Drosophila melanogaster: one gene and its partners. The protein of the gene in region 3 interacts with the protein of the main gene of each other region in a pairwise test. Each region holds a gene or a part of one and is shown on either strand. Other genes may lie near its edges.

What was found.
Region 1: the proteins of aru (region 3) and CG12985 interact in a two-hybrid assay, tested with the Drosophila melanogaster proteins (one large-scale study listed by BioGRID).
Region 2: the proteins of aru (region 3) and SkpB interact in a two-hybrid assay, tested with the Drosophila melanogaster proteins (one large-scale study listed by BioGRID).

The regions. Positions count from the first base shown.
Region 1 is NC_004354.4:17,881,933-17,885,792, forward strand, and holds CG12985 (uncharacterized protein), read left to right. Parts: upstream 1-1,785; 5' UTR 1,786-1,875; coding exon 1,876-2,543; intron 2,544-2,707; coding exon 2,708-3,152; 3' UTR 3,153-3,306; downstream 3,307-3,860.
Region 2 is NT_033778.4:12,138,741-12,141,846, reverse strand, and holds SkpB (SKP1-related B), read left to right. Parts: upstream 1-1,617; 5' UTR 1,618-1,862; intron 1,863-1,920; 5' UTR 1,921-1,922; coding exon 1,923-2,408; 3' UTR 2,409-2,552; downstream 2,553-3,106. Other genes in the region: Smyd4-4 (SET and MYND domain containing, class 4, member 4), read right to left, coding at 1-576, 633-896; CG18343 (uncharacterized protein), read right to left, coding at 2,690-2,989.
Region 3 is NT_033779.5:861,314-867,749, reverse strand, and holds aru (arouser), read left to right. Parts: upstream 1-1,888; 5' UTR 1,889-1,923; intron 1,924-2,689; 5' UTR 2,690-2,841; coding exon 2,842-2,873; intron 2,874-2,955; coding exon 2,956-3,352; intron 3,353-3,411; coding exon 3,412-3,555; intron 3,556-3,615; coding exon 3,616-5,187; intron 5,188-5,251; coding exon 5,252-5,431; intron 5,432-5,491; coding exon 5,492-5,584; 3' UTR 5,585-5,901; downstream 5,902-6,436. Other genes in the region: CG13950 (uncharacterized protein), read right to left, coding at 6,054-6,321, 6,393-6,436.

The sequences.
Region 1 (3,860 bases), on a different chromosome or scaffold from region 3:
CAAGGTCAGTTAATAAAGTTGATTTTTGCTCAATACGCAATAGCGCAAAAATGTGCAAATAAAAAATATAAACACTAACAAGTGGCAAGCGAAAATACAAAAGACAACAAGCGGCAATTAAAAAAGAACCTTTCATGAAGTTGTTTTTGTGATCTCTCAAGATCGCGTTAAATAAAAACTTATCAAATGCACAATATTATGATAAAATGTGGTAATAAAACATAAATGATGTTGGCAATGATTAAATTTACTTCTCTATAAATCAAAAAGAACATAAAATGAGCATTTGGTTTGTATTATAAAGTCTCTAAATCTATTCGAGCGAACGATACCATATTTTCATAGTTTGCGATACTCATAAGATCACATTGGAAAACAAGTGTATGATTTCCCTTGCACACTTGCTGTCAATTGAATTGAACGTTCTGCCATTTTGCAACTTTCTTATAGAGAACATGGCCGTATCATTCCCTATTTCCGCCACTGTACTGACTGTTTTGTATTTTGTATGGTAATTGAAAACTGCGCATTCATTGATGACGGATGACGTCGCAGCTTTGACAGTGGCATTGAAAATTTCAGTTTCGCAAGCAGACTGCAGTAAACTGGTGACCAGTCGGCAGCAACAACAACAATGATAATGAATGCAGGAAGAACAAGAACAAGAAGACTACAATAACGATACTATATACCATGTATGTACATATATATATATATATATATATATAACAAAGGAACTGAATGGCCGGCATGAATTTCACTTAATAATGTGTTGCCCGAAAAACGTTTTTTTCCTCTGCATCTATGGAATTTCATCTTTCAAATAACTCATCTTGAATCTTAAATCAATTATGCGGATAGCATGTTTTCCCTGACTTTTATGCGTAATTTCAACGAAGAATTTGAATTCTCTCACGGAATAAATGTTAGTATATTCAGTGTAAATGAAAAATACGCAAATATCTATTATAGCGCTATCTATGTATCTATGAATCTGTATCTACAGATCGTTGCAATTGTTGATATTACTTCCGCCAGGTGGCGTTTTCCCCACCGCCAGTTAACTGCATTCATGGTTTCTGTTTTCCGCACACTTATTTATTTGGCCGCACTGATTAGAGACTGGAATCACAATAATAATAACCAAAACAAATGGCAGCACGTGCTTAGCATCTGGTTTGTTGTGATAAAGTGCGACTTTTCCCAGCCCACCCACACCTATGCCGCTTTCTACCCTTTCTCCGCTCGCCACACGTGCTTGCTAGTCAGCTAACCAGCTAGCTAGTTAGTCAGCTAGCCGCTAGCTAGTTAGATACTTAGTTAGCCAGCCAGTTGGCTGCGTCAGCGTCGCAATTGCGCCGCAATTGGGCACTAATGAAGTATTCTTGATACGCATTTACACTGCATTGGGCAAAGGGAGAAAGAAGGTGCGAAAGGTGAGCAAGGTGCGAAAGCTGCCAACTGAGGTGCTGATTACCCATCGCTATGGCAGCCATTTATCCTGCAGGACAATGGGAAATGGGAAAGCTGGAAAAGCGCTGGTGGAAAAGTATGGGCAACCACTCAGCTCAATTAAAAAATCGTTAAAGGGCAAACAATTGCTTTTCCGTTTCACAAATACGTTCTAGCTCTTTTAGACGGTAAGTTAAGGGGTTCCCATCATCAATTAAACTGATACTATGCGAAAGTACTAGAAAGCCAGCCAACTGTAAAGAATCGCAAAATACCCTGAAATATGTATATATTCTATGGAATATCTAGTAGTTTTGAAAGCAGCAGCCTGAGTCGCTTTCCTCAAATTCCGGATTCAAAATGTATATATTTCCACCATATACCCTGCTCCTTATCATCCTCCGCATTGTGAGTGTCCGTGCGATGAGCTTCGACCAGCCCCACAACGAACACGACGCCTCCCTGGCTAGCTATTTGGACAACACCAACGATGACATATCTCCCCAGGGCTTCAACGGCGATGGGAATGGTAGTTCGGGGGCCACAGTGGTGCCATTCCCTTATCTGGGATGCACCACAAGACCGTCCTACCAATCTGGATGTGAAAGCATGGACGAAAGCGCTAGGGACCGAGAAAAAGATCGCAATATTGATCGGGATCGAGGCCGAGATTGGGATCGAAATAGGGGTTGCGATAGAAACAGGGATCGGGACAAAGACAGGAATAATATTAGAGATAGGGACAACTGTGACTCCTGTGACGAGATTATCAATTCGCGGCTGAAGGCCACCCACATTGCCCAGAATGCCGCCCAGGTGGCCAAGGCAGCCAATGATGCACAGGCGGCCGCCGCTCAAGATGCATCGCGGCAGGCGAAGATGCAGCTGGCGGAAAAGGCCATCTCCGCTGCCCGTGCCGCCGATGCGGTGCTCGAGGGCAAACAGGCAATGGTGGACAACTACGCTAGGGAGATCCGGGATGCCGAGGAGGTGGTCGGACAGGTGAGCTGCTCGCTGCAGAACAGTGAGACGAACGTGGAGGCCTCCTGTGCCGTGGTCAAAGCAGCGGAGGTTCAAGCCGAAACATTCAGGTATAATTGATAAATATTCAATATTCAATATTGTTCACAATCCATCCAACTATCTACACAATTTAAAAGCGGAACAATTATATCGTTATATCTATCATAATATCTACCAGCGATAACATATCGATTTTTAATATCAATGCTTTTTCGATTACTAATGTTTTCAGGGCCCTCGTACAGCAGACGAGTGGCATTTTGTCGGAAATGGACAGCCTAATCGACCAGTCGAACATGGATATCGAGGAGAAGAACCAAATGCTGGCGGCGGCGAAGGCACGTGGTGACCGCCTGGCCCGCCAGGTGGCGCAAGCTAAGTCGGAGTACGAGCAGGTGAAGGAGGCGGCCTGTCGCGCCGCATCCGCCGCCGTGGAGGCCAAGCAAAAGGTCGGCACCGGCAGTTTGCTGTACAAGTCGTCGGTTCACCGCCTACCCACTGTCGCCATAAGGGCCAATGGAGCGCGCGGTTACGCACTCGACAGGAACACCTGCAATGCTCTCCTGGATCTCTACAGGCAGCGCCGACGGCAGCAACAGCGAATGCGGCGGGAGAAAATCCTGAACGGACTGGATCGCTATCAAGGGAATTCACTGTACGGGGATCACTCGTACTAACAAATGCGCTCCCTACTAACGGATGCTACGTCCACAATTCTGTTTTTCTAAACGCTGCAAATTATTTTAACTCTATTTGGATAAGAGTTTCGAGATTTTTCAACAATTTCAGTTTCACTTTTTGAGCGTAAATATGAAGTATTACCTAAATGCGAGTTGTATAATCCTTGTTTTCTTGTTAATTTATTTCCTACTTTTAAGATCGTACTAAATAGCTTGCACATATCATTACAAATCATTAATGTATTGTCAGTTATGTACATATTAAAGATCTTCCCCGTATCGAGTGACCACCGTAGCTGCTTCAATACACAATTGTTTACCAACAAATTCGCCTGACAGTGTCGTAATTCTTGCGAAATAAACAATAACAATGGGAAATGAGTGCAAGGCCAAGACGCAACGAAACACGATCGCAAAGAGGAGAAGGAGAGTGGGAGGGGGAATAGAGAAGGAGATAGTGTGGAAAAGCCATCTTGTCCAGCGGAAGAACGAATGAAAATCACAGCTGCCAATGCGAGGCTGCCAGCTGTTTGGATTTTTCCTCCTTTTCCCTTATGTATTTGTTTTTTGGAAAAATTGTGGGCGGTTGGGTGTAAAAAGTGCAACGCAAGCAGGGTTGCCACCTTTTGCGGCTCTGTTGCGTCGTTGTTTTTATTGCTATTTTGGCGTCGCTTCATGGAACTCGAAACGGAAGAGAGTGAGAAG
Region 2 (3,106 bases), on a different chromosome or scaffold from region 3:
GAACATGCGGTTCAGAAAGTCAATGATGGGGCACTCGTAGCGGTGATAGGTTTGCATGGCAATCGACTTGCACTCCTCGGAGCAGAACATCGTGGAACAGCAGCTGTCGCAGGGTATGAGGGTCAGATAGTTCTCCCGCTTGCAGGTGGCACACCGAATGTATCGCATCGGCGTCAGCAGTGTGGAGCAGAAGGGCTCCTCCACGGACACAAGATCCCCAACGGCCAAATCCCGATTGGTCACCACAAAGCGACCCTCGGCGGCGGTTTCGCGCAACTCCAAACAGTCGGCGATGAAGGGCACCTGGGCATGCGGTTCGAAACTGAGCTTGAACTCATAGGGCACCACATCCGGCGGTTGCTGATCGAGTAGCTGTTGGCAGTCCCTTTCTCGCTTGTCTAGTTTGTGGCTCAGTCTCGCCGGATAGTTGGCCTGCCTTGCCAGCTTGATATTGTCCAGGCATTGCCGATAGCGCTTCCACTCGAATAGTACCGCCGACCGATTAGCATAGCCGATGGACAGGTGCTCCGAATTCGGTTCGGCATAACAGATGCTTTTGTTGTACAGCTCTAGAGCCTGAAACGAGTCGCAGGGATTAGCTTAAGTTTGCCGATTGAGGGGGCAATGATTACCTGGAAGTAATTCCTGTTCTTGAGCGAAAACTGCTCGTTGCCCAGCATACGGAACTCCACGCTCCGCTTGTTGCACTTGTCCTCTCGAAGCGTTACATTCAGGAATATCTTTTCAATGTACTTGAAGTCAATAAGAGCGCGCATCACGAAGTCAACCTTGCGATGGTTCTCCTTCAGCTCGTTGAACTTGCCGGATATGATGCCGATTAGTTTCCAGTCCTGCAGCTTCTTTATCAGATCATCGCTCACGTCGTACACGTCCATCTCTTGTGCGGGGTAGTTTCGGAAGTCCTTAGTGTCCTGGAATTTTCTCCGGATCGGATTAGATCTGATCGGATGGCTTCGGATCCTTTGGTTCGGTCCGCGTGTCGACGCCGCCGCCTGTTTTTTTCAGCCGGAAAAAATGTTCTTTTGGCCCACTGCCGGTGCCGCGATTTCTTTAACTGGCGCAAGTGCTGACCGCTAATTAGCGATTTCACGGGCGATTACTATTCGGAAATATTCTAATTATGCACACGGCGATTTTAATGTTATTTTTTTGACGATTCCGCTGGAAGCAGTGTGGAGTATAGCCTGCGAATATATAACCCAGCACAGAGGGAAATGTACTAAAAAATGCCGCAAGTTGACTGCTTGCACTAGCCGCGACACAAACCCTTGGCCTAGCTTAAAATTGTTTACAAAAATATTTGAAATTTGAAATTCATTAAATAAAAACAGGATAAAAACTAACTATAAAGGCAGAATTTTGTAGGTTTCTGTTTAAATAATACAACGCCCAGCACGCTTGAATTGTGCCAAAATATATATGTTTAAAAAAAATATATATATATACATTATAAAAAAATATAACTGAGCTTTTGTTTACCGCTAGCTGTCACAGTGTCTCCACACCATTAACTGTAATAGGCGCCATCTTTTAAAGCCATTCCGAGTATGTGCACACTGGCGGCCGTTTCACTAACAAATTTCCTCTTCAAATCGTACGACGTTCTAGTTTTCTAAGAATCCGGGGAATTATTGGCAGCCAAGTTCTTTATTTAACAAACGCTCTGTTCTCAGGCGGCCGCCGCACCAGTCCGGTTCAAGTTGAAGGCAAGGGAATATTATTTTTAGCCAGTAGGCCACAGCTAAGTGACATCGTGTTGTGTCTAAAAATTTTGTTTGGCTGCGTCTGCAAATAAATCAAACCGATTTCGTATCAAATCTTGGGATCCAAATCAGCAGGAGGTGTGTACGAATAAAATTGAAAATATAGATATAAGCAAAAATAAAAATTTTTACGCAGAGATGCCCATCATTCGGCTGGAGTCTGCGGACAAGGAGATCTTTGACACGGATCAGGAGATCGCCAAGTGCTCGGAAACGATTCGCATTGCAATAGAGGATTTGGGCGATGAGAGCGACAACAGTGTGCTGCCGTTGCCGAATGTCAACTCGCTGATCCTGAAGAAAGTGCTCCACTGGGCCACCTATCACAAGGACGATCCTGTGGTTACCGAAGAGGTTGAGAACAAGGAGAAGCGCACTGATGACATCTCATCCTGGGACGCTGACTTTCTCAAAGTCGACCAGGGCACGCTGTTCGAACTGATCCTCGCGGCAAACTACCTGAATATCCAGGGTCTGCTCGACGTCACCTGCAAGACGGTGGCCAATATGATCAAGGGCAAGTCGCCGCAGGCTATTCGCGACACCTTCGCCATCCAGAATGACTTTCTGCCACAGGAGGAGGAACAGGTGCGCAAGGAGAACGAGTGGTGTGAGGATAAATGAATACCATCAACTTACCATGACGAAATTAAAGCTTAAATTTTTTGTTTAATCAACATTTCAATTGAGATAGTTAGCTGATCATGTTAAGAGTCAGCAATTGTTCTGTTGGGTTAATTAAATAAAATATTATGCTTTAATGTTGGCAAGTGCTCTTTAACAAAGGAATTAATGACAAACCGTTTAATGTAATTTACAGTGTTCTTCAATTTGGAATTTATATTTGATTTAGTTAATGTAGTTTAAAGGCCGTGGTCCCGATGGCATTCGCCAGATTGGTCACTTCACCCGGAATAGCTAACAGATGTGATGTCGACGGAGCCCAAAGCTAGCAGCAATCGGATGACGAAGAGGGCGATAACCACTTTGAGGACGATTCGCACGCAGGACAGCAACAGTCGGAAGCCGAAAAGTATTGCGTAGCACGTAGCCCCCAGGAACACCACGTATGTGATCAGATCGCCCAGAACAGAGTACATGGACGCGTTCCTGTAGACACATTCAAGGAACTGCGTGCCGCATTGTTCGCCATGTCCCCAGCCGTATTGCTCCCGTCCGTTGCCAATACTGCAGCTTTTCTCCATGTTTAGACTGACGTATATGCTGGATAAGCCGACAAATGGGACATTTCCTTTGTCCAGTGTGCAAAGCAAATCTTCCAGTTGGAAAAAATCAGCTGTCTAGTGTGACCGCATTTCGAT
Region 3 (6,436 bases):
AAGGGAGTGTATACACATACATATGAATATCACACATTTCACCGGAAAATGCGGTCAATTAGAATAATACATACAGCGAATTGAGCCTGTGTCTGTGAATTAGTGAATGAATTGAACAAAGCATTGAAAATCAATACGAAACCTGCCGCCGCTCCCACTTTTGTACATACAGTAATGCGTCGGTGAAGTAATACTCGATTGCGGGAAATCTGGAACATATACTAAGTTCAATCATTTGAAATTGGTTAGATTATTAATTTAAATAATTGCCTAAAGAGCTTCAAGGATGTTATTTTCAATTAGATTACTTATTTGAGGGTCCACTGTATATCCGCGCTCGCACATTACTGTGAAGCCTCACCTGTGTGAGTGCGGCTTATAGGCGACGTGTGTGTGTGTGTCTGAGAGAGGCTCGTGGAATATAAACAGCGCACAGTGAGAGAGGAAAACGGAAAACAGGTGGAAAAGAAAGCTTAAAAAATGCGGTCGGTCAAAAACTAAAGTTGCAGCAACAGGCGAGGGGGTGGCGGGTGCCGGGGGGCTCGAGACACGGAGACAAATACCTTTTCAAGCCGCACACACCAGCGCAAGCAAAGACGTCAGCTTATCTGCCACGCATGCGCGCGAGGGGGACGACAATAGTGTGGATCGGGGTGTCGATGTCTCTCCACCCCCCTCCAGCCCACCACCATCTAACGAGCGGGTTTCCACCCAAAGAACAGCAAAAACAACTATTGTCATTTGTTGTTTTGCCATTTGCTTCGTAAACCAAAAAGTATGCGAGATAAAATAAAAAAGCAAGTGTACCGCACGCCGCCGTTTTATCTAAATCCCAGCTGTCTGAATTATTTGAGGCTCTAACACCCCATCTCACGCTTATCAGGACCCAATTAATTATCTTCACCTGAATGGAAGCTATGCTTGGGGCATGTCTCCAGGTTTATGGTTCTTGTCGGGGAGTTCTTAGATACCAGTGCAGTTATGTATCTTAGATTGCCTTACCGAGGCTTATAATTTTCCCCTATTTACAGATGCATAGATACATATGTGTGGATTGCAAATATTTCAAGATTATAGAAGTACAAAAGTAGTAATACTTATATTATAAACATATATGTATTTCATTTAGCATAATGTTTTTGTAGATGTTTATGATGACTTAACTTAACTTCAAATCACCCAGCAGCTTTAGTACTTTCTCTAAAGCATGATTTATGCAAGCCCAACTATTTCCATGTTACCCAAGTGCGATAATGTTTATCGCGTTTCGTCATTGGCCTCTAAGCTGCTGTAGAGTTAGGAGCGAAAACACAAATCTGTCAAATTCCACAAGTGTGATGCAATTTGGGGCTTGTACGAACAGTAAAACGCTGAAATATAACACAGCGGCGCAACTTAACGAAAACAAAACATTTCCAGGGGTGTAGTGGGTCAGTGTTTTCTTTTTTACGTGCACTTCGCTTGTTTGTTTACTGCGATTTTGGCTTGTACAAGATCGTAAGCAGATAGTGCCTCCAGCTGACCCCCTCTGCAGTTTCTCTTTCACCTGTTTGCAAGTACACAAGCACCCAACACCCCCTTTCCCCTGTCCATTGACCCTGCGACACTGCTGGATTGATACACTGAAAACAATCGACAAACTTGGGGGTGTTTCTATCATGGAAAATGTTGTTAACATTTAAAAATGGTTAGAACTACATTCTAGAGACTTTCTCGCCATAGGATTATTATAATGATTTTCAATATCTTTATAAAAACAGTAGCGATTTTTGCTTAGTGTAGATAGGTATGCGACACCGCTGCCCGCGTCGCAGTCGGCGTCTGAGCCCAGCCTAAAACAGCGGAAAAGTTGTTGCTGTCACTTGAGTCGAGGGAGCGGTTTGGATAGAGTCTGCGAGGGTTAGAGCGAGAGGGAGCGAGAAAGTGTGTTTGCAAATCTCAGTTTTACGTGTGTGTGTGTGTCTTTTGCAGGTGTGTTCACTGGCTACACAGAAAAAATAAGAGAGATTTATCCGAGTGTTGAAAAGAATGTTACTGTGACATAGAACCATAGTTGGCCTAATTTTTGAAGATAAGAGCTATTACTCTACAATTACTCTCTATTACATCTACAATGCAATACAATTTGCTGCTGTTAATACAAATAAGATGAATATAATCGGAAGTAAACTATCCAAAGATATTCTCTGTGTAGTCAAAGTGGAGACACCGAGCTTAGAGGAGAACCTGGGGAAGTGGAAGTAGCGCGATTTTTGAATTCCAATGCTGATCCAAGCCAACAACGAAATGTTAAAGTTTGAGAATAATTGCGGCCATGTGCGGATCGCTTGGAGTGTGTATGCCAACGCTAGTGGAGGCTTGGAATCGGAATGCGGTCTGAGTCAGAGACGATTGGCTGCGCAATATCCAAGTGGCTTGGCGGGATTAGGGGCCTTCGGATGCAGAGGGACTTAGTCTCAGCTGCACAAAATAAACACAGCATAATGATCTAACACATACTTTAGGACCAATTTTCGTATTCGACACTCATAAGATTTCAGCTCGAAGACTCGGTCAGCGGAGGCTTTAAGGTCTTGAGAGACCAAATTGGGAACCAGACTTCCAAGGGGCTTAACCACACCCCTGCCAATAGGAAATTTAGTTTTGGGAATACTATTCTAATCAAGTTAAACATGTTTTTCGACAGCAGTCACGATATAATGTTTTAGTCATTGGAATAAGCGATTAAATGGGATTATTAAAAGCATACACATAATTCTAAATATTATTTTCAAATGACGATAGTTCAACTCGACCTAAGAAGCAAAAGTATAAGTTGGTAACGATCAAAACTTTTAATCAATGTTTAAGCTACTAAGTTCATCATTTAAACGGTAACTTATATTTTAAACGAATCAAAGACCGATATACAAAATTGTTGACGATGATGATGATGTGAAAAAATTTTATTTTTAGACGGAGCTTCAGACGTCGATCGAAGCCTGTACCGGGATTGGGAGACACCATGGTGAACCACCACTCGAACGGAGGCGGCAGTGCTGGAAACAGTAGCGGAAGCCTAAGAGGAGGCGGTGCCCATGGAGGCGGCGGCGGAGGAGGAGACTATTCCGGAGACGATCGCAGCGGAGGCGGCGAGGAGCGGGAGCGTCTGGAGAGTGACTTGCACGACAAGCCCACCTACCTGCTGGAACACCTGGCCACCTTCACGGTCAACAAGGAGTCCGGCATTGTGTATCCGGCGGACGGAATGCGTCGCCTCCTTCAGCTGGAGAAGACCACGGGTATTTGGTCGCAGAAGATGCAGCTCTGCCTGGACTATCAGTGGGTGCTAATTATGGACTATGAAACAGGGGTACGTTTCACAAACTGGGAAAGATCCTTATGGAACTCATCTTCATCCTTGCCTTACAGAACATAATCGAAAGATTCCCCGCCTCCTTGGTTCAGGAGCCCACCGCATTCACCTCGAATGACGCCATGGAGCTATACAACAACATTCTGGTCTTTATCGTATCCGGAGGCGGTGGTTCTCGCTCCGAGATGCACATATTCCAGGTGAGAATTAGTGAGGCTTCTGTCTCATGACAGTTTCATTCAAATGATTTATCCCTGCAGTCACAAAGTGTGTCCGCCGTTCACCTGGTTGAGGATCTGAAGCAGCTGAGAAGCGGCAAGATGATAACGCAGCAGCGCGGTGCCACACCCACTCAATCAGGAGGCGGAGGAGCCTCCAGCATGGCCATGATGATGAGCAAAACCTCCTCGTCCTCGTCGCATAGTAGAGTGGAGCTGCACCAGCACAGGGAGCAGCGGGCAGAGCGCGAGAGGGAGCGTGATCGAGACCGTGAGCGCGAAAGCCACCATCACATGCACCAAAGGAGCAGCATGGAACAGTATGGAATCCGTGCCGGAGTAGGAGTTTCTGGCGATGACGTTGCCCACATTAGTGGCGAGACGGATTCGGAACACGGTGGGATTGGGGGCGGTGGCGCAACGGAGCGCGATGAGACTAGCTCCACGTCCAGCGAGAAGTACGAGCGGGATGTGGCTGTGCTGAATCACTGTTTCGATGACATCGAGAAGTTCATAGCTCGTCTTCAGCACGCCGCCGCCGCTTCCCGGGAGCTCGAGCGCCGTCGTCGCAATCGGAAGTCGAAGAAAAGGGATCCGGGGGAGGGATTGCTCACTTTGAGGACACGGCCTCCCCACGAGAAGGAGTTCGTGGACATCTTTGCCAAGTTTAAGCTGTCATTTAACCTGCTGGCAAAGTTGAAGGCGCACATCCACGATCCCAACGCTCCCGAACTGGTGCATTTCCTCTTCACGCCGCTGGCTCTGATTGTGGAGGCCTCCAGCGACACGTACTACGAGTCACAGCTACCGGCCCGTGTGGTTAATCCCCTGCTGACCAGAGAGGCCATCAACCTGCTCATCAACTGTGTAACCAGCAAGGAAACGGAGCTGTGGCGCTCGTTGGGCGATGCCTGGGTGATCCCGCGAGATCAGTGGAAGGATGACGTTGGATCCTACCATCCGGTCTTCCTCGATGGCTGGTCACCGGACTATTTGATCAACGATGAACTGGAGCCACCACCAAATTCCCCGCCCGCTCATGTGAGCAAGCGCAGACTCGAGGTCCAGGCTGGATCCGGACTAAATGGTCGTGGGGGAGGCGGATACGATGACTACGACTCGGGGAACGGGATGAACATGGCCATGGGTATCGAGAAGTACACCATCCACCACGGCAACGACGGTTTAAGGGAGCGGGAAAGGGAGCGCGACAGAGAGCGGGCGGGCGCAATCAGTGCGTCTGACTTTAACGCCCGCAGCGAGCTGTCGTTCGACTCGATCGAAGGCAGGGGCGGCGGAGCAGCGGGACATGGCCATGGTCATGGCCACGGACCAGGAGCTGGACCAACCCTTAGCGCCATCACAGCTGGTCTGCAGAATCTGCATACGAGGGAATCTCGCAGTGGAAACGGGTACGGAGCAGGAGCTGGTCCGGGGCCTTCGTCGGAGTTGGGCGGTGGAGGCAGAGGCCTGCCGAATGTCAGCGACGACCAGATGCTCGAGTCCTGGCTGGAGGATCTGCAGGCGACGGGCGCTAAGATTGTGCTGGTCACCTATCCGCGAACCGCCAACAACGACAAGGAGCTTAGCGTGATGCGAGGCGAATACTTGGAGGTAAGGCCAGCACCCACGTTACCATCCTTCGTTCTGTCCTATAACCATCTCTTCGAAACTTTAGATCCTTGATGATACCCGAAAGTGGTGGAAGGCGCGCAACATGCGGGGTCAGGTGGCCCACGTGCCGCACACGATTGTAACCCCCTTCAATTTCGGGGATGGAGATGGAGCCCAGTTCTACGGGCAACAGCAGCAGCCACCGACGGGTCCCACAGGTCCGGGCAACAAATCGCGATCAGGGGTGAGTAAGGCTGGTCACTCAATTCATGATGGGACTTGCTAACCGCTCTACATTACCCAGGATAATCCCGGCATGGAACAGCGATCGCCGGATCCCACCGACATGATGCGCAGCAAGCATCTGGGCAAGAAGGGCGAGTTCCGCTACTTCTAGGATCGAGATGCGATCACCATATACATATACACATATTCCGTAGTGAGGATCTAGCGTTATAGAGAGACAGACATCAGCAGTTCCGTCTAGGATGCTAGTCCTGGTCACTAGCGATCGGATTGGCTCCAATACCTTGCACTCGCTCGCAGGAGTGTGCAAACCAGAACTAACCTTAAGACTAACCTAAGTGGAGCTCCAGACGGGAGCTGTTGAGCAGCACGTGGCTCCTGCTGAGGCGGATGCTTAAGCTGATGCTCATCCAGGCGAAAAGGGGAGGCGACGGCAATAATTTGTTTTAATAAAATTATATCCAAAGGAACCTGCCTATTGGTTGATGATTATTGAGGAGATTGTAGTTTGGAGAGCTGCTTTGCTTTATTTGGATGCTCACAAGAAGAAGTTAACTGGTGCTGTACGGTGATCAAAGCCAACGATTGAACAAAGAGCATACTACGAGAACTCGAATCGATTAAATGATGGACAACTTCTCCACGCGGGCCAGAAGCGGAGAATCGGAGTGGTACTCCAGGCTCCGCACGGCGAAGTCGCCCACTTCGTTGGTGAAGCACTTCAGAGTGGATATGGAGAAGGGGCGTCCGGGAAAGTTGTAGTAGGTGAAGTACTGCCCGTTGACGGCGATCAGGAAAGCCCGATCCCCGAGCCCAAAAGCGATCTTGAAGAGCTTTCCGCGCACAAATGGGAATTCGCCCTCGGTCTCCTCGTCGCTCAAGGCAAAACTAGAATAAGTGAGTAAAGGTGAATTCTCTTGGAGGAACTTTGCATATTGGAGTCTCGGACTCCTTTATACCTGTTGTCTTCACGCTGGTAGCTGCGTGACACGGTTGTCCGATC